5 linked regions of the Coturnix japonica genome follow. The protein of the gene in region 2 interacts with the protein of the main gene of each other region in a biochemical or structural test. Links are inferred from orthologs where the notes say so. Each region holds a gene or a part of one and is shown on either strand. Other genes may lie near its edges. The genes, in order: ABL1, XPO1, RANBP1, ADAR and RANBP3.

The links.
Region 1: the proteins of XPO1 (region 2) and ABL1 interact in a test that uses a peptide from one of them, tested with the Homo sapiens proteins (2 studies listed by BioGRID). The link is inferred for Coturnix japonica from reciprocal best matches to the Homo sapiens genes XPO1 and ABL1.
Region 3: the proteins of XPO1 (region 2) and RANBP1 form a complex in vitro, tested with the Homo sapiens proteins (3 studies listed by BioGRID, with this or other methods). The link is inferred for Coturnix japonica from reciprocal best matches to the Homo sapiens genes XPO1 and RANBP1.
Region 4: the proteins of XPO1 (region 2) and ADAR form a complex in vitro, tested with the Homo sapiens proteins (2 studies listed by BioGRID, with this or other methods). The link is inferred for Coturnix japonica from reciprocal best matches to the Homo sapiens genes XPO1 and ADAR.
Region 5: the proteins of XPO1 (region 2) and RANBP3 form a complex in vitro, tested with the Homo sapiens proteins (2 studies listed by BioGRID). The link is inferred for Coturnix japonica from reciprocal best matches to the Homo sapiens genes XPO1 and RANBP3.

Annotation. Positions count from the first base shown.
Region 1 is NC_029532.1:4,567,054-4,571,125, forward strand, and holds the start of ABL1 (tyrosine-protein kinase ABL1), read left to right. Parts: upstream 1-1,270; coding exon 1,271-1,406; intron 1,407-4,072. UniProt on the Homo sapiens protein: Non-receptor tyrosine-protein kinase that plays a role in many key processes linked to cell growth and survival such as cytoskeleton remodeling in response to extracellular stimuli, cell motility and adhesion, receptor endocytosis, autophagy, DNA damage response and apoptosis.
Region 2 is NC_029518.1:5,211,706-5,215,215, reverse strand, and holds part of XPO1 (exportin-1), read right to left. Parts: intron 2,611-3,510; coding exon 2,429-2,610; intron 1,620-2,428; coding exon 1,463-1,619; intron 1,362-1,462; coding exon 1,198-1,361; exon of another isoform or gene 708-1,197; intron 416-707; coding exon 281-415; intron 1-280. UniProt on the Homo sapiens protein: Mediates the nuclear export of cellular proteins (cargos) bearing a leucine-rich nuclear export signal (NES) and of RNAs.
Region 3 is NC_029530.1:1,023,458-1,027,567, forward strand, and holds the start of RANBP1 (ran-specific GTPase-activating protein), read left to right. Parts: upstream 1-1,306; 5' UTR 1,307-1,414; coding exon 1,415-1,429; intron 1,430-2,837; coding exon 2,838-2,974; intron 2,975-3,563; coding exon 3,564-3,721; intron 3,722-4,110. Other genes in the region: TRMT2A (tRNA (uracil-5-)-methyltransferase homolog A), read right to left, coding at 447-919. UniProt on the Homo sapiens protein: Plays a role in RAN-dependent nucleocytoplasmic transport. Alleviates the TNPO1-dependent inhibition of RAN GTPase activity and mediates the dissociation of RAN from proteins involved in transport into the nucleus.
Region 4 is NC_029540.1:1,491,361-1,495,632, forward strand, and holds the start of ADAR (double-stranded RNA-specific adenosine deaminase), read left to right. Parts: upstream 1-1,471; 5' UTR 1,472-1,621; coding exon 1,622-1,751; intron 1,752-2,002; coding exon 2,003-2,193; intron 2,194-3,858; coding exon 3,859-4,272. UniProt on the Homo sapiens protein: Catalyzes the hydrolytic deamination of adenosine to inosine in double-stranded RNA (dsRNA) referred to as A-to-I RNA editing.
Region 5 is NC_029543.1:271,885-276,171, forward strand, and holds the start of RANBP3 (ran-binding protein 3), read left to right. Parts: upstream 1-1,486; 5' UTR 1,487-1,597; coding exon 1,598-1,619; intron 1,620-4,287. UniProt on the Homo sapiens protein: Acts as a cofactor for XPO1/CRM1-mediated nuclear export, perhaps as export complex scaffolding protein. Bound to XPO1/CRM1, stabilizes the XPO1/CRM1-cargo interaction. In the absence of Ran-bound GTP prevents binding of XPO1/CRM1 to the nuclear pore complex.

The sequences.
Region 1 (4,072 bases), on a different chromosome or scaffold from region 2:
ACTGTTGCCTCAGTTAGTTTCAGTTCTCAAGGTGAACTAAAGAACATATAAAAACCATCATCTTCCTGCTCCACAGGGCAGGGAACACCTACCTCACGGGCAGTGTGAGTGATGTGGGGGTTTAACTTCGTTTTTGCCTCTGTGGATGGGGTCGGTGTCAAGCTGTGAGCTCACAGCACCGTAGGGAACGCAAGGCCTTTGTGTGGGGATGAGGGCTGCCCCTATGAGGTAAGGGCTGCCCCTGTGAGGTGAGGGCTGTCGGATTCTCCTCACCGCCGCTTTCCCGCAGCCGGGGCCGGGAAGGAGAAGGAGGAGGAGGCGGTGGCGGAGGAGGAGTGGCCGGAAGGGGTTTGCCCGCCCGCCCCGCCGGCCGGGGACGGGGCTGCGCCGCGGGTTCCGGGATCTCCCCGATCGCTCCGCCGCCCCCCTCGGCCCTTTGTCCCCCTTCCTCCGCCCTGCCTTGCCCTGCCCGCGGGGATGCCGGCCTGTCCTTCCCATCCCCACCTCCTGCGGACGCGCTGCGGGCTCCATCTCCACGGACGGCCTCGCGCCTCTCGCCCGGCGGCCACCGGGCCCTTGTGAGGCGGCCGCCACCTGCTCGGGCCCAGCGCTGTTCGACGCCGCCATGGCCCCCCGCGGCCCACCTGCCTGCTCGGGCCCGGCCCGGCCCCGGGAGAGGTAGCAGAAGGAAGGGCCGAGGGCACGGCGAGCTGCGGGCGGGCATCGGGTCACCACCGGGAGCTGCCGGGATGGTGGTGGTGCTGGGAGGCTCCGGCAGGACGTGAAGCCAGACGTGAGGTGCTTTGGACTTCGCTAACCCAATGCTATGCAAAAGAAAAGGAGAAAGAGGAAAAAGAAGAAGAAAAAGAAGAAGAAGAAGAAGCCTTGACGCTGGTTGTGGTAGGAATGAGTGTTTCCTGACCACGGTGAGCCTGAACGTGGTTTCGTGTCTGTGAGGTGGACGGGTTCTCCTTGGTGGAAGACATACCACGTCCGGGGAGGTGAAACTTACAGCGTCGCTCATTAACGTGTGATTGGAACTTTTAACTCATTTATGTGTTGTTCATAACGCCGTGCTGCTGTCTGCAGAATCATCTGGTGCTCTGCTCCATTGACTGCACCCACCTGGCACGGGAGCACCGAACTGTAGGGGCTGGAAGGGGATCTGGACATCATCCGACATAAAGGTTCTCCTTCAGCCTGGAAAATAAGGAATCACAGACTTCTGCAGAAGCTTCTTGTCCCGGGAGAGGCTGCCCAGAGTTGCTTTATGGGGCAGCAGCCTGGAAAAGTTCTTGGGGACCAAAGGAGGCCGAGTCTGCCTGCCCTGCACTTCATCAAGGGAGCAGGGAAGAAGGAGTCATCGAGGCATGGGGGCCCTCACTGCAATGTCTTTGTGGAACACGGTGAGAGATTTCAGTTGGTTTCACTTTTGGTTTGATTTTGATTTGCTGAGTTGGATGTGATGTGGGTCTCCTAGAGAGCGTAGTGTAAGATGCAAACATGCTGTGCTTCTTGGAAGCTGTTTTCTTTCCCTTGCCTCTTAAGGTAACACTGTTGTTTTTGTTGATACTTCACTTATGTTGGATTATGAGAGGTCATGGCACAACTAAATCTGAAATACAAGGAAATAACTCTTTAACATCATATAAACTTCGCATTTCTGCCTTGGATGTGTTGTGGTTTAAGGCCTAGAGAAGTGCTTGATCCTCTTTGAGTTGTTTGTTATAGGTGCAGACCAAAGCCAGCTGAGGGCAATGCTCTTGTGAGTGATGAGTGTTCTTAATTATCTCTACAAAAGGGGGCTCAGCTGCTTGGAAACAAATCTGGGCTGCTTTTGGGAAGTTGCTGGGTGCTGCTGTTGTAATAACTGGTTGGAACGAAGCAGTTTCTTGTTCATTTGCTTGGTGTGCTTACAGCACTGTTGGTTTGTGGTTTCTCATGGCCAGTTAAACATGCAACTTGTGCTGGAACGGGGGTAAGTGTGGGAGGCTACAAGCAGCCGGGTGAGGGGTACAGCAACCCGCTCAGCTCTCTGCTCCAGATTAAAAGGAGGCAGAGAATCTCAGGAAATACAGCAAATTGAAGTTATTTGGAGTTCCACAGAGCTTTTAAATGCCTTTTCTTTTTCTTTTTTAATGAGATTTCCAACTGAAGGCATCTCTTTCAAAAGGCACAGGCAGAAACGTGTCGTTTCAGTGACCCTTTATGGAATAATGCTTGGTTTTGCGTGGCACTTTATGGTGTTCCTTGAAGGGACATACACCAGGCTGCTGCCTCAGGCTGGAGAAATGGGATCTTCATAAGGTTTCTTCAATAGTTTTGACCTATAGTTTTTCTTAGCTCTGTGATATACTTCTCCTCTGGCCTCAGTTTGGTCACTGCTTGTACTGCATTGGACGGTGTTTCAAGGTCAGGGGAGATACCGTGAGCACAAAGTGCAAGCGGTACGATATTCTCACAGCCTTTGGTGCTTTGATGTAGCAAAAGAGCCAGAAATGCTGCTTTTTGATCATCTGACAGGACTAGGCAGATGGTACCTTTTTGCTGCTGTGACCTGAGGTCAGAAAATCCCAGCACATTTGTGAAGAGAGATAGCATCTCCAGTGTCCACGTACCATATGTCTATGAGAGACCTTGGTTGATTTAGAAATCAACTTGAAAGGGGACATGGAGGTCAGTACAGCTGTTAGGAGAGCTGCAAAAGATCAGTCTCGCTTAGCAGCACGAGGAAGAGTTTCCTCCTTTGTGTATGTGAAATGGTTCTTCATCACACAGGCAGGAGAAGGCTGCACCATGGGTTCTGTGTTGTCTGTCTCTGGGCCTCCTTCTAGCCTGGTACTCTAAAGTACCTACAAAGGTAGGTTATTCTTCCTTGATTTTTTGTTTTGTTTAATAGCTGAATTTTGGTTTTGAAATGCCTGTACAGTCTGACACACCGACCTTCTGACCATCTATATTTAATGGACAGAACAGTATTTCATAGTGTAGCTTTCCTGTTGTGGAAGTGGCTTTTGGTAGAGCGGCTCAGAACCTTGGTTTGGTGGTTTCAATGTGAAATTCAATGTGAAAAATTGTTCGTATTGCATTGCAGAACATGTCAGAGCTTGTACAAACTTCATATCCAGATATACAAAGAGGAACTTCCTATTGGGTCTGTATTGTGCCTTAAGAAATCTCTTAGAAGAGACTTCAGATTGAAGTTTATTTCTTTGACGCTGTTAAATATTACGTTTCAACTGTTTTGATTGTGAAAACAAATGAAAAGCTGTGGTTCCTTCCTATGGATTCAATGACCAACCCATGTATATGAGCTGTTATCAGTAGCTTGAAGACTTTGGAACATAGTTTTGCCAGCCAGGAGGACCTGCTGTGATCAAGCAGTAATACGACTTGGTATTTATTACCCTTTATCTTATGAGTGAGCACAATGCGTCTGATTCATACGCAGTATAAATTCATTAGGTAGCTAATTGCCTGTACATGGAGGTTGTTTAAATGGGATTCCTTCTGTGCTAGATCTCTGTTCTTTAGCATGCAGGTGGTTCCAGGCCTTGCCCTCATACCTTTGCATTGTTCCTATGGGTGAATGACCTGGGACAGGAAGGGGACTGCTCTACTGCTCCTGCTTTGGGCTTTCCCCTTGAAGCTGCACCATTAACATCAGCCTAATGGAAGCTCCTTTGGAAGCCTCCCTTCAGTATCTGAGTCGGTATTTCAAACTGACCAAACTTTTTTTCATTGTTAGCTTAGAGATTTGTTGGCACCCAAGCTTTAATTTCCATTTCTGTTCGGAGGGAATTATCCCCGGCTGTTGAGATCATTGCTATGTATCCATCCTTTGATGTGATTCAGTATTAATCTGGTTAATGCTGACATTGCTCCACGTGGAATGCAGATTTGTGTACTGCTTCTGCCTGCATCCCCTTCTATCATACACTGTAATTCCTGTTCAATTACCAAACACAGGCAAGTTCCACTAAGAAGCCCCTGTGCAGAACTTGATCTGGGCTTGGGATGTGTTAGGAGAGAGGCCTAAGACTTGCTAAACTGCTTTACATGCGCCGAGGTG
Region 2 (3,510 bases):
GGTCACTTGCAAGAATTTATCTTACACACTGCTAAGGGATTTTCTGTGAAATTCTTTACACTGGATTTAAACCACTCTTAAGTCATTCAAGTCTTCTCTTTTCAAACAACACTTTTACTGTCACATCAACCATTGCTTTATATAAGTACACCCCAGCTAACTTCACCTAATTCCAGGAGTAAAAAGAACAACAAACCCCAAAACAAACAAACAAACAACACAGAAACAAACATTCAGCTGTTTTATTTTAATTGAATACACTTAAAATTTATGGCCTTACTTTTGTTGCCTGCTGAATTATGCTGTCCCATACTTGATTGGGGAGCAACATGTATTTTTCTATCAGATGCTCCTGTACAGTCTGGTCTGTTTGTGCCCCAATCATGTATCCTACTGCTTCATAGAACGTATGCACCTGATTGGAAAAACAAGTCAAACAGAAAGGTTAAGGAAGACTACCCAGAAGTTTACCATGTTCAAAACTAGCAGGTAGTAAAAGCTGAAAATGGGTTTCCAGTGAATAAACATGTACTTCCCACTTGAGTTTACAAGATCTTTCTCCACCTTTTCCTTACTTACACCACATTTAAGGTAAGCCTCCATTCCCTTCCAATGTTACTATCTCAGAGACCTCCTTCATTTTTACCTGAAGCAATTTCAGGCATATGCTTTCTCTTATGATACAGCTCCATTTATTTCTTTTACAGAACTTTGAGCTAAATCGAGTGCAGAAAATCAGAAGTCGGAACTTAATACCTCCTCAGCCCAAGGTTTCCAAGGTTTTCACTGCAATGCATCAGCTGTGCATGCACTACACTCTGTAAGAACACATTCTCCCTGCAGGTATGCTCTTGCCACTGGACACGCAAGACCCATAAGTATGCTATCACAGTAGAATACTCTTCTTTGCTAATCAAAACCTCAAAATCAGATTTACTATTATTTACTTGTAGAAGCATTCCAGAAAAAAGAATTTCAACTCGGCACACTTTAATTCTCTTTTCAAGAATTCTAATTAAGGCCTTAATAATGTAACACAATCATACCGTCTGTAACATAACATTCACTAACACACACACACACTCACACAATATGACTAAAAAATACAATGCAAATCTTAAAAGTCTACTATCAAGTTTCGTTATGTCACAACTTTTTACTCATCTTCACAAACTTACAGTCCTGAATTATATGTACCTGTTGTGGCTGAAGGTCACAGATGATTGTATTTATATTGTTCAAGATTTCATCAATGAAAGGCATTACTTCTCCCACTTGAACCTGAACAAAATGTCGGCGGCACTTTTGTGCTATTTTAATGAAGGTATCACAAGCCATATCCTGGACACCATCATGGGTTTCTAAATCAAATGAGATCAGTTACTGTTTTGAATTTTCCCCCAGACATGCACTTGTACTCGGCATCAAGAAAGTCAGAACAGCAAGTAGAAGAGATAGTTACCATGCATAAACTCAAATAGCTTGTTGACTACTGTCTTCAAAAACTTCCAGTGAGCTCTCAAGAAACGTGGGTATTGGCCTACTATGTACATAATATTTGATGCAATAATGGCTTTGTTGTCTTTTCCTCTCTTTTGTTCACAGAGTCCTAGGAGATCCTACAATGTAACATATTATTAGTCACCTCCCCAAGTTTGTAGGTTAGAAGAGCAGTATAAAGGCTAAATTAAGCTATCATAATGATGCGGTAGAGTAAATGCTATTATTAAACTCCAAGCCAAATTGATTTAAAAAATAAAAAACAAACAAGAAGAGTTAAAGATCAGGACAATTCTAAGTTTCAGCCAAATCTAGAACAACACCTTTTCAGCCATGTGTTTTAAATGTAATTAATGACGTATACAGGGCAGACTACAGCAACCCTCAGTGTTGACTACTGACCAATCAGTTGATACAGATAAACATACAGGTATTGCACAGCAAGTAGGGGAAACTAAATCCTCTCTGCAGTATTTTTATGATGTAACAGCAATGCTTAATTACTCCTGTAGATAACATTTTCTTCCTGTACTCTTTCCACACACACATTTACTAAACATGAAGTGAAGAGTGCTATTTGGTTAAAAACAATGCACGTTACTTTGCTTCATTAAGGCTACTCTTACTTCATTAGTGCTTTTTTTCCATATCTTCTGCATTCCTAAAGCAAAATACTTCATCATAAGCCAAACTTTCCTCTCCAGAATTTTCACAGTGAAAAGGCTATTTGAATTCAAGCATTTTTCATGACTGAGGAATTTATCGACCTAACATTCAGTATATGGTATTTCCCATCAAATTATTTTCATCAATATGTTTGCTGTACAAGACAGCTTACTGAAGAATGTAGAGCAGTGTCTTTTTAAGCTCAATTTCTTGAGCATAAACTATCAAGTATGACAAAGCTGTTAGTTTTGTAACACAATACCTTAATTACTGTAACAAGGAATCTTTTTTCATCTTCTTCATGCATTGCTCCACTGATTGAGCCTATAGCCCAACACAGTGTATTCAAATTTTTCCATGACCATTCTGTCCCATTCACTTGATTATGAAGTTTCTCTGTCATTATTCGTTCTGTGTCTGCATAATCCAGATGCGTAAGATACACTGAAAGAAAATTAACAGTAAAAGTAAGCAAGATTATTTTTAAGTTAATTTCTAAGACAAAATCAAAATGCTAAGTGTAATACTTCTCTTGTGAGCTTATGATAGAACAAGCTAAGAATTTAAACCCAGATCTGCTAGAGTTGTAAAGACAAGTATATTTTCTATCAGTCAGATCAGTAAAGCTACTAAGTTAAATAATTAATAAAATGCATACATACTCATGAGCCATAGGAAATATGACATAGGCTAGCTCTGAGGTTATTATGCTGCATTTAACAAGTCAGTCAATAATTCTCCTCTGTTCATTATTTCAGTGTCATTACATCTGTTGGATTTAATAACCCGCCATTAAAATGGAGATGGTACACCTGAACCTAGTCTAAGTGAAAAGATTCAGCTTTATCAGCTCAGACCATTCCATCAGCCCCTAAAAAAACTCTCTAACATAAGTAAAATAAATAATCCCACCAAGTCAAAAAGCAGCATAAAGGTCAGATTTAGCAATGGATTTTTACAGTGCCACTTTCACTGTACTCTTGCCTTTTTAAGAGGCGAATCTTCTATTATGACAGCACACTAAGCAATAACAAACACCAAAATTCAAACTAAAGACTGTCTGACACCTGTATCTGGAAACATTACTAAGGATGAGAATATACTGCAGTAATTTTAATACATTTAATATATAATTTAAAAATAAATATATATCAGAACAAATGCGTTAAGTATATTTACTTCAAAAGTACAGCAGTGAGAATAAAATAATGCTTGTGTTTTACATTCATGAAGTTGCTAATAAATACTCAGTGCTCCATTCCAGTGTTTTCATTTAACAGAAAAATGTTATTATTGAAGTCTAACAACCTGACCTTACATGTATGACAACCCTGCTTCAAATCC
Region 3 (4,110 bases), on a different chromosome or scaffold from region 2:
ATGGCCCACAATGGACATAACAAGTTACCAGAGGAAAAACTCTTCTCCTGGAGGAAACCCACGTTTTAACAGGGGAACAGATCTCTCAAGTTACCAGACCTGCAGCCCCAGGAAATGACACTTTGTACAACTTTAACTCTATGTACCAGATTAAGAACGTACCCAGCGCACAGGTGGGACTTTATCTATGGGATTGAGGGAAATGATGGAACAAATACTTCGATCTACAAAGACTGAGCTTGAAAACCGAGGGGATAATTTGTAAGGGAATCCCGGTGGCACCGGGCCATCTCTGCACAGGCCCTTTTGTGCTGGCATCCTCAGGTGCCCGACTGCGGGCTGAGGGCGGCGTTACTTGGTGCCATGACTTGGTGCCATGACTTGGTGCCATGACTTGGTGCCATGACTTGGTGCCATGACTTGGTGCCATTACTTGGTGCCATTACTTTGCCAGCTTCTGCAGCAGCTGCTCGCAGTCCCGGCGCTTCTCGTCCAGCTGCTGCTCGTAGGGCAGTGCCCACAGCGGGGTCACCACGTCCGCGATCCGTTTGCTGACGGGCTCTGCCGGCTCCGTCCCGGTCCCGTCCCGCTCCTCCTGCCGCCGTTTCCTCGCCATGGGGTCGGCTTTGGGCTTGGCCGCCCGTACTCCGAGGGCCCGGCCCTTCCACGCGGCGCCGTGCAGGACCCGCACGGCCTCGTCCCGCTCCTCCTGGCTCTTGAACGTCACGAAGGCGAACGTCTGTTTGCCCAGCAGCTTGATCTTGTGCGGGCTCAGCCCGAACTTGGCCAGGAACTTCTTGACGTCGTTGAAGCCGATGTACTTGGGCAGGTTCTGGATCTCCACTTTGTAGATCTCGGAGGTGAACAGCTCCGCACGGGTGTACCCGTACACGTCGGGGCCAACCTCGGCCGCGTCCATGGCGGGATGGGGCGGAGCGGGCACGGAGCGAGACGGGGATGGAACGATCAGCAGCGATGATGGTGTTCAAATACAGCGGCACCGAACCGTGCGATCCGACCCGGTACAATACAGACAGCGGCGGGCTCAGCGCTGCAGCAGCACGGCCGCCATCTTGGGACGGGACGGCACGGCCGGGGGAGGGGGAACGGGGAGAGAGGAGGGGAGGAGAGCGGGGCTGCAGGGCCGGGGGTACGGGTGCCGGGCGGGGCTGTGGGCGGCACCGAACCGACACGGAACCGAACCGACACGGCACAGCAGCACACGGACACACGGACAAACGGACACGGACACACGCGGCCCAGCACCGCGAGAGGAGAGCAGGGGCGGGGCGGGCGGAGGGCAGGGGCCGTTTCCCATCGTGCCTTGCGGCGGCGCGGGCTGCGGGAATGAGGTAAAGGCGGGAGGGGCGGGAACGCGGCAGGAAGAGCTGAGACAGCGGGAGAGAACGGGAGGATGGCGGATAATAAGGTGGGGAATGGGAACGGGGGGAGGGAAATAAGGGGGGGAAGGCGGCGGGGGAGCGGGCCGGGGTGGGGGATGGCGGTAACGGAAGCGGGTGGGGGCCGCGCGGGGCCGAGGCCGCGGCCCAGGCCCGGTTGTGGGCCGAGCTGCGCGAGGGCGGCTGGGGCAGCGCTGCCATGGGGAGCAGCAGGAGCCGCTCCGCTCCGTTCCGCTCTATTCCGTTCCGTTCCTCTCCGCTCCGTTCCGCTCCCCGGGGCCGTTTCTGGCTGTTGTTGCCGTTCCCGCTCACTCCTCGTTCCTTCCCGCAGGGCCCCACGTGTCGCCTGTCGCGATACCGCCCTGCCCGCTCTGCACGTGGCGGCGGGGCCCGGTGTGCCGGGGGCGGGGCTGCGGGGCCGCTCCGCTCCTCTCGTTATCTCGTTATCTCTCGTTATCTCGTCGTTATCTCGTTATATCCCGACGCTGTATGGCGGCTCCGTTCAATCTGAACGTTCCGATCCGCCGGGGCCGCTCGTGCCCCGCAGCGATCGCCGATAACCGAAAGTTTTTGCCCCGTTCTTTCCCGTCTTGTCTCCGTTCCGCACTGAGCGCAATGCAGGCCCCGTGTGTGTGTGTGTGTGTGTGATCCGCCTTTGTGTTGTCCCGGCTGCGGCAACAAAAAGGCACGAACCGGTTCTGTCCCCCCGAGATCCATGTTTGTGGCCTCGCTGAGTTTGCGGAGCGCTTCCCTTGAAGGCTCCTCACTGAGCGCCCCTACCAGCACAGCCGTGTGCCCTGTAGTCATGGTACCGTGCCATGTAGTCGTGGTACCGTGCCATGTAGTCATGGTGCCGTGCCCTCCTCACCAGCTGCCCCTGCAGACTTCCTGAGCCCAGCAATTGTGCGGGCAGACCCCGAGCAACTGCATAGGAAGCCTCATGTTGGCCATTTACCCTCAATGAAAAACAAGGCTCCTCAAAGAGCGTTGTGTTGGAGGAAAAAAACTTCAGTCACTTCGCGAGTGTTTTGACTGTGCTTCAGAAATCTCTGCGGCTGTGGGGAGTTCTGACACGTAGGATGAGAACAATGAACTTCTGTTGCCTGTCTGGATGGACTTGGGCTGGTGGAGGTGGTTTCTTTAGTGATGTTTTTCCCCCCCATTAACAATAGGTTGTTAGTAGCATTAAGTGCATATACTGGAAAAATGATGGGGAAATGACTTTTCAGCAGCCAAAGGCCAGGACAGTAGAACAAAACCAGCATGAGGCTGCTTCTTTCTTAGTCTAACTGCACATCGACATAAAGCAATTAATTTTCACCTGTGAATATTGGTTAATTTTAACACATATTTCAGTTGCTGAGATCCAGTTGCTGAGTAGTTGTGAATGTAAGTGTGCAGCATGTTTAGCTTTCTTTTTTGTTTTCCCCTGTCCAGGAAGCACATGAGGAGCACGATACCTCTACTGAAAATGCAGATGATTCCAACCACGATCCTCAGTTTGAGCCCATAGTTTCCCTTCCAGAGCAGGAAATAAAGACTCTGGAAGAGGATGAGGAAGAGCTCTTCAAGATGTAAGTAGAACACTTGTACGCATTATCTGGCTGCTTATTGTACTCAAGCTTTAATGTGTTACGAGAAAGTTGGATGACTTGTTAGGAATCTCTGTATGAAGTGGCAGTGTAAGTTCACTGCTATTTACTTTAATGGCAGAGGTTGAGTTGGGGAGGTCTGACAGCACTGTCCCCAAGGAACTGATGAAGGTCTGGAATAGCATGAAGGAGATGGTGTCATGAATCTGGTTTTAGTATTGACTCTTTTATCCCAAAAGAAAACATTAACTTGGATAATAAATAAAGTTTTGAAGGTATGTGATACTGGTCTAAAACTTATAGTGCAAAAGGTATGGAAGACCAGCATAGGATCTAGGCACATTCCAGACAAAGATCTATTTGGAATCACACGGAGTAGCCCAAGCTGGCGGGGACACACAGGGCTCATGGAGTCCAACTCCTGGCACTTCACAGAACCACCCAAGGTTCTTTCAAAACATTTTCTCTTTCTTGCGTGGCTTAAAAACATCTGCTGTACCATACAGGTGGATGTGTTGTTTCAGTAAGCTGTTACATACAGGCTAACTTCTCACGTTCTTCCTTCTTTAAGGCGAGCAAAGCTGTTCCGATTTGCATCTGAGAATGAGCTTCCAGAATGGAAAGAACGAGGAACTGGTGATGTAAAACTCCTAAAGCACAAGGAGAAGGGAACAATTCGCCTCCTCATGAGGAGGGATAAAACTCTAAAAATCTGCGCAAACCATTACAGTATGTTATGTGTTACTATACTTGCTACTGTTTTGTGTGTGTGTGTGGTTTGTTTTTTAAGTAAGCTTGATGGAGCTTTATACATTGAAACTCAAGAGCCCGGTGGCTTTTAGCAGTGTAGGTAGAGAGATGCTGCCTCTTAAAGCAAGTGTCCAACTTACAGGAGACTATAAATGCTGTCATTTCTTGCTCTGTCCACAAAAGCCATGTATCAAAACATGAGTTCTCATCTTTATGGATGGAAGGAGGCTGTAGTTTTGATGATAACCTGCAGCACTGAATCTGGAAGTTCTTTGTTTCAAAGAGTGCTGATGTTTGAAGACACTTTGAAATGTAACTGGGATGGACAAACACAGTGTCATTGATCCCAGTGCTTTGTTCTTTAATGG
Region 4 (4,272 bases), on a different chromosome or scaffold from region 2:
GAGCTGCCCCCTCCGTCAGCTCCATCCCTTTAGGGCCATGTCCCCATGTCTTCAGGTCCCCATGTCTTCAGGTCCTCATGGAGCCCCTATAAAGCACCCTCAGCCCCTGCCCACCCATCAACCACCCATCTCCCTGCCCTCCACCCCTCCATCTCTCACAGCGCCCCACTGCACCCCATAGGACTGCACTGTCCCTTGTGTCTCCCCCCCCCCCAATCCCCAGTTTATCCCATTTCAATTCATCTCATGCAGCATGGAGCTGCCCCCTCCGTCAGCTCCATCCCTTTAGGGCCACGTCCCCATGTCTTCAGGTCCCCATGGAGCCCCTATAAAGCACCCTCAGCCCCTGCTCACCACCCGGAGCTCCCCCAACACCCACCCCCTTGGGGAGCAGAGGGGCTGGGGGCTCCCGTGGGTGCTCACATAGAGACGTGGGGCTCCCCGTGGGCGCACAGTGCGACGTGGGGCTCCTGGCTCTGTCTCGCTGGCAGATGGCACCCAGTGAGCAGCAGACGGGAACAGGCTGCTCCGTGCCTGGGGAGCTGTGATGGGTGTAATGGGAGGGGGGGGGGGGTTGAAGAAGGGGGGAGCAGGATCCACGCTGGGAGGGGGGGTGGGGGACAATGTAGTGCTGCTGGAAGATGATGCAGGGAGTGGGGATGCAGCTTGGCTGGGGAGGGGGCGGGCAACTCCATGCTGTGTAAGATGAATTGAAATGGGTAAAATGGGATTGGAGGGGGGGGGGGTCACAGGGGACAGTGCAGTCCTATGGGGTGCAGTGGGGCCCTGTGAGAGATGGAGGGGTGGAGGGCAGGGAGATGGGTGGGTGATGGGTGGGCAGGGGCTGAGGGTGCTTTATAGGGGCTCCATGAGGGACTTTTGAAGACATGGGGACCTGAAGACATGGGGACATGGCCCTAAAGGGATGGAGCTGATGGAGGGGGCAGCTCCATGCTGCATGAGATGAATTGAAATGGGATAAAATGGGGAGGGGGGGACACAGGGGACAGTGCAGTCCTATGGGGTAGGGAGATGGGTGGGTGCTGGGGGAGCTCTGGGGGTGGGCAGGGGCTGAGGGTGCTTTATAGGGGCTCCATGGGGACCTGAAGACATGGGGACGTGGCCCTAAAGGGATGGAGCTGAACTATGGGATGGGACCTATGGGGCTGCTTCCCCTTGGCATCAAAGTGGGGCTGGGATGAATGCAGGGGGTGTGAGCCCCATAGGGTGTGGGGGGAACTTAGGGGGGCTTTGAGAGCACATAGGGGAGGTGGGGGGTTGGGAGTCCAAAGAACAACGAGGGCTGGAGTAGCTGTAGAAGCCATATAGGCCATGAAGGCAGATGGGTGAATGAAGGTGAATGAAGACCCCCCCCATATATTACACCCGACGCCCACCGAGCACATGGACAGAGCTCACTGCGCATGCGCCAGTCCGACGGTGCTCAGGCGCATGCGTGTCACTGCTATCACAGAGCGCATGCGCGGTAGCACCTACGCGCAAGGTCAGGCCTAGTGCGGCCACGTCCGCAACAACAGGAGACACTCGGGGAGCGAACCGGAGATCCGGGATCGAAGCGATATCCCCGGTAGGCCGGCAGCCCCTCCACCGGCACGCAGCCATGCGTTGTCCTACCGGAACCCCTCCGTCTTTCCGTGCCCTGAAGAAAGATGGCGGCCACCACGCCGCGTGGCGCGGTTTGATGACGTCATTACTGCGCGCCCGCAGCGGCGCCGGTGGCGGCGGAGGGGGTAAGAGGGGACGGGGGGGGGAGGGGTAAGGTGTGGGAACGGGGCACCGGGAGGAGCCTGGAGCCTATAGGGGGAAATGGGGAACCGGGACGGGATGAAGGGGGGTGAGAACATAGAGAATAAAGAGAGTTCCCATCTATGGTGGAGATGTGCACGGTAGTACCGGTACCGGGACCGTAACCCCGAACCGGGTCCAATGCTCCGCCTCAATCAAGGCCTCATTCCTTTAACCCCCCCCCGTCCGGTTCCAGGCACGGCGCCGTGTCCCAGCGCTGCCCGCCTCATTGTGGGGCGGGGAGAACAGCTGCGGGGACGGAACCGAAAGCGAAAGGATCCGCAGCCATCTTACGGCATTAACCGGACCCGGTACCGCCTCCGGAGCTTCGCTTTGGCCGTCCGAAGGCACAGAAAGCCCCGTTTGGGGCTGTCGGACCGAGCGCAGGTAACGCGGAACGGGAAGAGCCGACACACGATCGGTCGGTGCTGATTCGGGACCGTAAAGAGCCGCGTTAATCACAGAATGAGCCGGGTTGGAAGGGACCTCAAGGATCGTGTAGTTCCAACCCCCCATAGACCCCATATCCACCCCATAGAGACCCCATAGAGACCCCATAGAGACCCCATAGATCCCCATAGAGACCCCATAGATCCCCATAGAGACCCATAGAGACTCCATAAACCCCACAGCCCCCATAGAATCACAGAATGATCCGGGTTGGAAGGGACCTCAAGGATCGTGTAGTTCCAACCCCCCATAGACCCCATATCCACCCCATAGAGACCCCATAGATCCCCATAGAGACTCCATAAACCCTACAGTCCCCATAGAATCACAGGATGACCCGGGTTGGAAGGGACCTCAAGGATCATGTAGTTCCAACCCCCTGCCTGGCAGGGCCACCAAACATACACCTTTACTAGATCAGGTTGCCCAGGAGACCCCATAGATCCCCTCAGAGACCCCATAGATCCCCTCAGAGACCCCATAGAGACCCCATAGATCCCCATAGACCCCATAGAGACCCCATAGATCATGTTGTCCAGGTCCCTGTCCAACCTGGCCTTGAACACCTCCAAGGACGGGGCATCCACAACCTCCCTGTGCAGCCTGTTCCAGTTCCTAACCACTCTCCTAGTGAAGAACTTCCCCCTGACATCCAACCTAAATCTTCCCTCTTTTAACTTAAAACCGTTTCCCCGTGTCCTGCTATTGTCAGCCCTTTTGGTGGTCGGTGTGGTTAAAGAGCTGAGCGTGCTCCGGTCATTTAGGAGCGCTCCACGTGCAGCCTTCCCCTCTTTTCATCCTTCTTTTCCCTATTGACACATCGCTTTTGGGCTTGGGGAGGTCAAAGAGCTTCCTTTGTAAAGGGTTTATCAATGCTGAGTGATGTGGGGGTCCCTGGGGGGGAGGCTAGCAGGGGATATCCATTACTATGTGTAGGAGGGCTGGGATACACCCTATGAGCGGCTGCTTCACTTTACAAGCTCAGAGCCCTGAAGGTGTGAGCGAAACTCAAGGCTGCCATCCCCAAAACACCTTCGTGGCATTACAAAGCGGCTGCCGATCTGATTTCACTGTAGGTTATCACCTTACTCCTGCAGTGTGATGCTTTACATCCATAGGTCTTTATAGGTCTTATAGGTTTCTGGCTTAAGCCCTGACTATGAAGCTCTCCCAGCTGTGCCACATTGAGCTGCCCTGCCTCCCTCTGCCTTTCAGGTTCCAAAAGCAGACATGAGCTTCTTGCCTCCCTGCGGGCACAGAAGTGAAACTTGCTCATGTCCCAGTGGTGCCAGAAGGGGATTGAACCCAAACTCAAGCAGTCTTTGCATCCACCTTGATGTTCAGCCCAAACAAGAGCGGCCAATCTGTCTTTATATGAAGCTGGTTTCTTGTTAACCTCACCCAGTGTTCCTGGCTGCTGGGTTCTGACCTGGGCAGGTGTAATTTGCCAGCTGTGCTCACATGAATAATTGAATGGCAGTGGAAAGGCTTGGCGAGGCTCTTATCTCAGCAGCATGGGGGGTGTTTAGGCTGCACCTCTGCTTATAATGGTGTCATTGGGTTTTTAACCCCCATTGGGTTGTTTTTTGTGTGTCTTCCTAGCAGGTATCCACTGGGAACTGGAAGGAATCGCTGCTCCTGGTGTGCAGGCAGCCTGGATGCCAACGTGTGCTCAAGCAGAGCGCTATGAGCAGAGGCGCTGCTCAAGGCAAAGGCTCACATCTCACCCGAGCAAGGCATAACTGCTCCAACCCTCACCCAGCTTTCTTTAACCGCCCCCATTCGTCGCAGATAACAAACTGGGAATCCTCTCGGCGCCTGGCAGAGCTGGATGGTGATGTCTGCTTAATTCAGAGGCCGCAGTCGTACAGCAAGCTGTGTGCTGGGGGATGGCAGGCTGCTGCTCCTGCAGGGAGAGGGCAGGGTGGCCGTGGTAAAGCAGGATGGCATAGGTTCTCCAGCAAGCAGCAGCAGGTAGAAACACCCCCACGTTGTCCCCCTCCTCGTTATTACTCT
Region 5 (4,287 bases), on a different chromosome or scaffold from region 2:
ATCACATCTACTCTGATATTGTTATAGACTGATTTATAGGTAAATTAAACCAGAATCCGGCCTCCAAACTCTGAGAGCATTAAACTGTCAATTTTCCTCTCTTGTGTTAATGATACCAGAGAAGCACGAGCTCTAATTAGAACACGGATAAGGAACACACTGTGACCTGCTGGTTCTTAAGGTCTAGAGAGTGTAACTTTGGGAGGTAAATTCCTGCTAACTCACAACCCTGAACTAGGTCACACCACGCACTGTCAGTGCCGTGCGTTCATTAGGGAAGCACAGCACAGCAGTGCCCACAATTAAAGCTGCCCAACTCTTCCATGATAAGAGCTGCCATCTCTCACAGGTTCCACCAGCTTCCAGGCTGTGAAGCACAATGTTCTGCGATGGAGAAACGTACCAGAATACGTGCTTAAGTTCAAAATGTAATTACTGTTTTTTAGATACTCACATAACGGGTAATTATACTCACACCAATTCAGTAGTGTTTGCCTCAGTTTGTAGGACATGTCCGCTTTGGGACAGGCTTTAATTCCACACAAACTGGAGCAAATTCAGCCACATTGTGAATCTGTGCAAATGACGGTTCTTGTGTGATGAGACACGAGAACGTGCTCAGCTCCACGCTCTGCAGGTTGTGTGTAAAGAAACACATCACGCTCTGGGCACCGTGTGTGTTTGGACATCGCAGCTTCCAGCACTGACACCTGTGAGCTGCTCGGGGACGTGAAAATCACCATCAGACCTTGCCGAGCTGTTCAATATCCAGCTGTTATTGCTCAATACCCAGAAGAGGCCCCTCGTCACTTCTATAGGTGACAATGTCGGTCATGGCACTTTGCAGGCTGAGGGAGCTGGAAACAGAGCTGCTTCTACAGCTGGAGCTACTAACGCCCTGCTGGTAGGACTGCTGGTATTAGGGACTATTAGGAACTGCTGCTCCCAACATGGGAACCACCATCCCACCCATGCACGGCGAGCTCCAGGACTTCCCTACGTAAAGTGCGTAGGGTACGTAAAGTGCGTAGGGTACGTAAAGTACGTAGGATACGTAAAGTACGTAGGGTACGTAAAGTGCGTAGGGTACGTAAAGTACGTAGGGTACGTAAAGTGCGTAGAGTACGTAAAGTGTGTAGGGTACGTAAAGTGCGTAGGGTACGTAAAGTGCGTAGGGTACGTAAAGTGCGTAGGGTACGTAAGCGTAGGTCCTTGAGAATCACAGCGTGCCGTGCCACCACCCCCGGGGGCAGCTGTGCCCGCAGAGCGCACGGCTGCAGCCCTGTGTGCAGAGCCTGGGGTGGCAGCATCACGCACTGTACGGAGACACGTTGGTTGGAGCACGGAAAGCGCGGCGGGCCGCAATTCAAGCTCCTGCTGACAGAACCGCAGCGCCTCCAACCGGCGCGACCGCCCCAAAACGGAACCACGTGCCACACCCGGCCCGCCTCGCGCATGCGCGGACACATCCGCCATTATTGAGCGCCCTCCGCCCCGCCCGCCCGGCCGTTCACGCATGCGCAGAGCGGCCGTAAATTGGCCGGTAGTGGAGCCGTCCGGCCGCGCGATGCATCTCGGGAGTGATTGAGGAAGTAAAATGGCGGACCTGGCCAACGAAGGTGGGTACGGGCAGGGATAAGGATCAGGACAGGGATAGTGATAAGGATCGCGGCTGGGATCGGGGCGGGCGGCCGCTGCTGTGCGAGGCGCTGCCGGGACGGGCCCGGCTCCAGCTCCAGCCTCGCTCCGCGTCCCGCCCGGTCGGGTCCCGCGCTCCGCTCCGGGCCGCGCTCAGCGCAACGACTCCGTGCGGCCTCACGGCGCCCCGGGGAGCGGGCGGACAAAGGCGGCGCCGCCGGGACGCGCTGCGCTGCCCGCTGTGCTCCGCGCTCTGCTCCCCGCGGGGCCTCCAGCCGGGCCGGGCCCGCCGGCTCCATGGCGGCCCGCTCCGTTACCGCCCGGCCTGCGCTGTCCCCGCGGTCCCGGGGCTGCTCCGAGCGGGTCCTTGCTGTTACCGCTGCCGCTCCCTTTGATGCTGGGAGCCCTGGGGGCTGCGTGCGGCCGGACGAGGCGGAACAGGCGTTTCTTGGCTTAGAAACGTTGGGACTAAATTGCTGCGGAGATTCCAGAGCGCTGTGGGGCTGTGGGTGCAGCACGGGGGGGTTCGGCCCCGAGGGCTGCGGGCGCTGCTTAAATGGCAGCGGGCAGCAGCAGGTCGGGCAGCCCCCGCTGGGCCCAGCTCGGCCCGCAGCAGCCTGCAGCCGTTCTCCCAGTGCGGTGGGTGCAGCTCCATCCTCATCCGAACGGGAGGAGCTGAACGCAGTTTAGGAGCCAGAACGGACAGTGCTTCCATTCGGTGCTATTCCTGATGCTCAGGATTTCTGCCAGTGGTGTTTACAGCCCTGATGTTAACGTTAGACAGAAGGAAGTGTCTTTTGGGCAGGATCCCACCTGCAGCTGACCACAGTGTTACACCAAAAGCATTGGGTGGATCTTATGATGCAGCACACGTGGGGCTGTTGGCTCCCAAATTGAAGGGATGCTGTCAGTGCTACCTAAAGCAGAGGGAAACCTGCTGATGGCACCAGGGCTTGGGAGATGAAATAACACCTTCTCTGCCAACACAAGAGGTTTGTGCTTTAAAAATGGTATGAAATTTTCTAATTACTCCTGGGTATGTAAAAGGCACCATGTGCCCATAGCGGCTGTGGCAGCGCTTTGTAGAAGTTGCCTGTTCATATGATCAGAGACAAAAAGGGTTTGAAGATAAACCAGATTGTGTCACATGCTCTATGTCTTGAAAGCAGAGTCCTCAAAGTGAGGCAGCAGTATCTACAAATATATTTTTTCTCCCCTTTTCCCCCACCATCCTGTTGTAATTTATATTCACCATGACTTCATTGGTGAGCTCCGGGTATGAATGATCCAGTGTCATTAAGTATGATCGGACTTTGCTTGTGGGGTCTTTTTCAGTGATCAGCTGTTGGCTTCGTAGCTTTCTTCTTGCTTTCAGTCTATTCATAGCTATTGGAAGAGTCTGGTTTTGTTACCTGTCCCTTTGGAGTTCTATAAAACACAAATGCCCAGGTCTCTTCTTTAGCTTGTCCTTCAGGCCCAATTGTTCTGCCTTGGTTAACTTGGAGCAGTCTGTGTGTGTGGTTGTGTTCTCAAATCAGATATTATCTGCTTACCTGCATTCTTTTCCTTTGTAAGCTGTTGCCATCAAATATTCTTCAGCTGACGCAGATTTGGGTTCCACCACTTTTCTCTGCCATACTGCAGTATAAAGGGAACACCTGCAGTTATTTTCCAGGCCTGATGCCATATGGGCTTCTATACGTATATAATTCAGCTGCTATTTCATAGTTGATTTGAGTGGTACCAGAGCAGGCAGGAAGAGCAGACTGTGTGGTGAGGAAGTGGGGTTGCTGAGAAGATGATTATTGTCCATAGAACCAGCACTTCATTCTGTTTACAACTAACATCCTTCTTTTTTTTTCCCATTGATTTTATTTTCCAGATGTTTTGAATTCTCCTTTTTGCCCAAATCTGATGGAAGGGTAAAGAAAACCTTCTGAAACATCTACATAGCCATTTTTTTCCTTCTATCTATAGTGTGCTGATCTTACATCAAGCCTTAACAAGGATGCATGTTGCTGCTTCCTCATAGCCCATTCTGTAGGGATCCCCCCGGCCTTTTTCCCCCCTTGTGCTGTTTTTCAGGTGATTATCAGCTGGTTTTGCTGTTCATTTGTGCGTTGGCTTTACATTATTTTGGTGCTCATCCTGCTCCCACCAGCTGAGCTGAGGGAATTGAGCTCCATAAGGAAATATTTGCAGCGCTGTAGGTGCCTTCCATAATGGGTTCATAAAGGGACACGTTTCTGATATATGTGCACTCGGAATCTCCGTTGGGCTTTTCAGTCATGGGGCACTTTGTGCTGCACTGAAGGCTTAAATCTTTATTTCAGAAACCATGCCCAGCCCCTGTGGCTGTGTGGATGTCAGCTGTCACAGGGGTAAAATGAGGTCATGTTTTGTCTGCTTGGAGGGAACGTGGCTGACCTTGTAGCCTCAGAAACAGCTGAATGTAGTCACACATCAGAGTGAAAGAAATAAAAATCTCACTTAATAGAATACATGATTGAAGATGTGATACCTCTGAGCAATTGAGGCCCTGATTTGGTTTCCAAGGCCTGTGAAGTAAGGTGATGCTGTATCTGTATGTGTGGTAGTACATAAGGCATGTTTGGATGTTAACAGTGAAGTGGCTGATAGCTCTGTTTT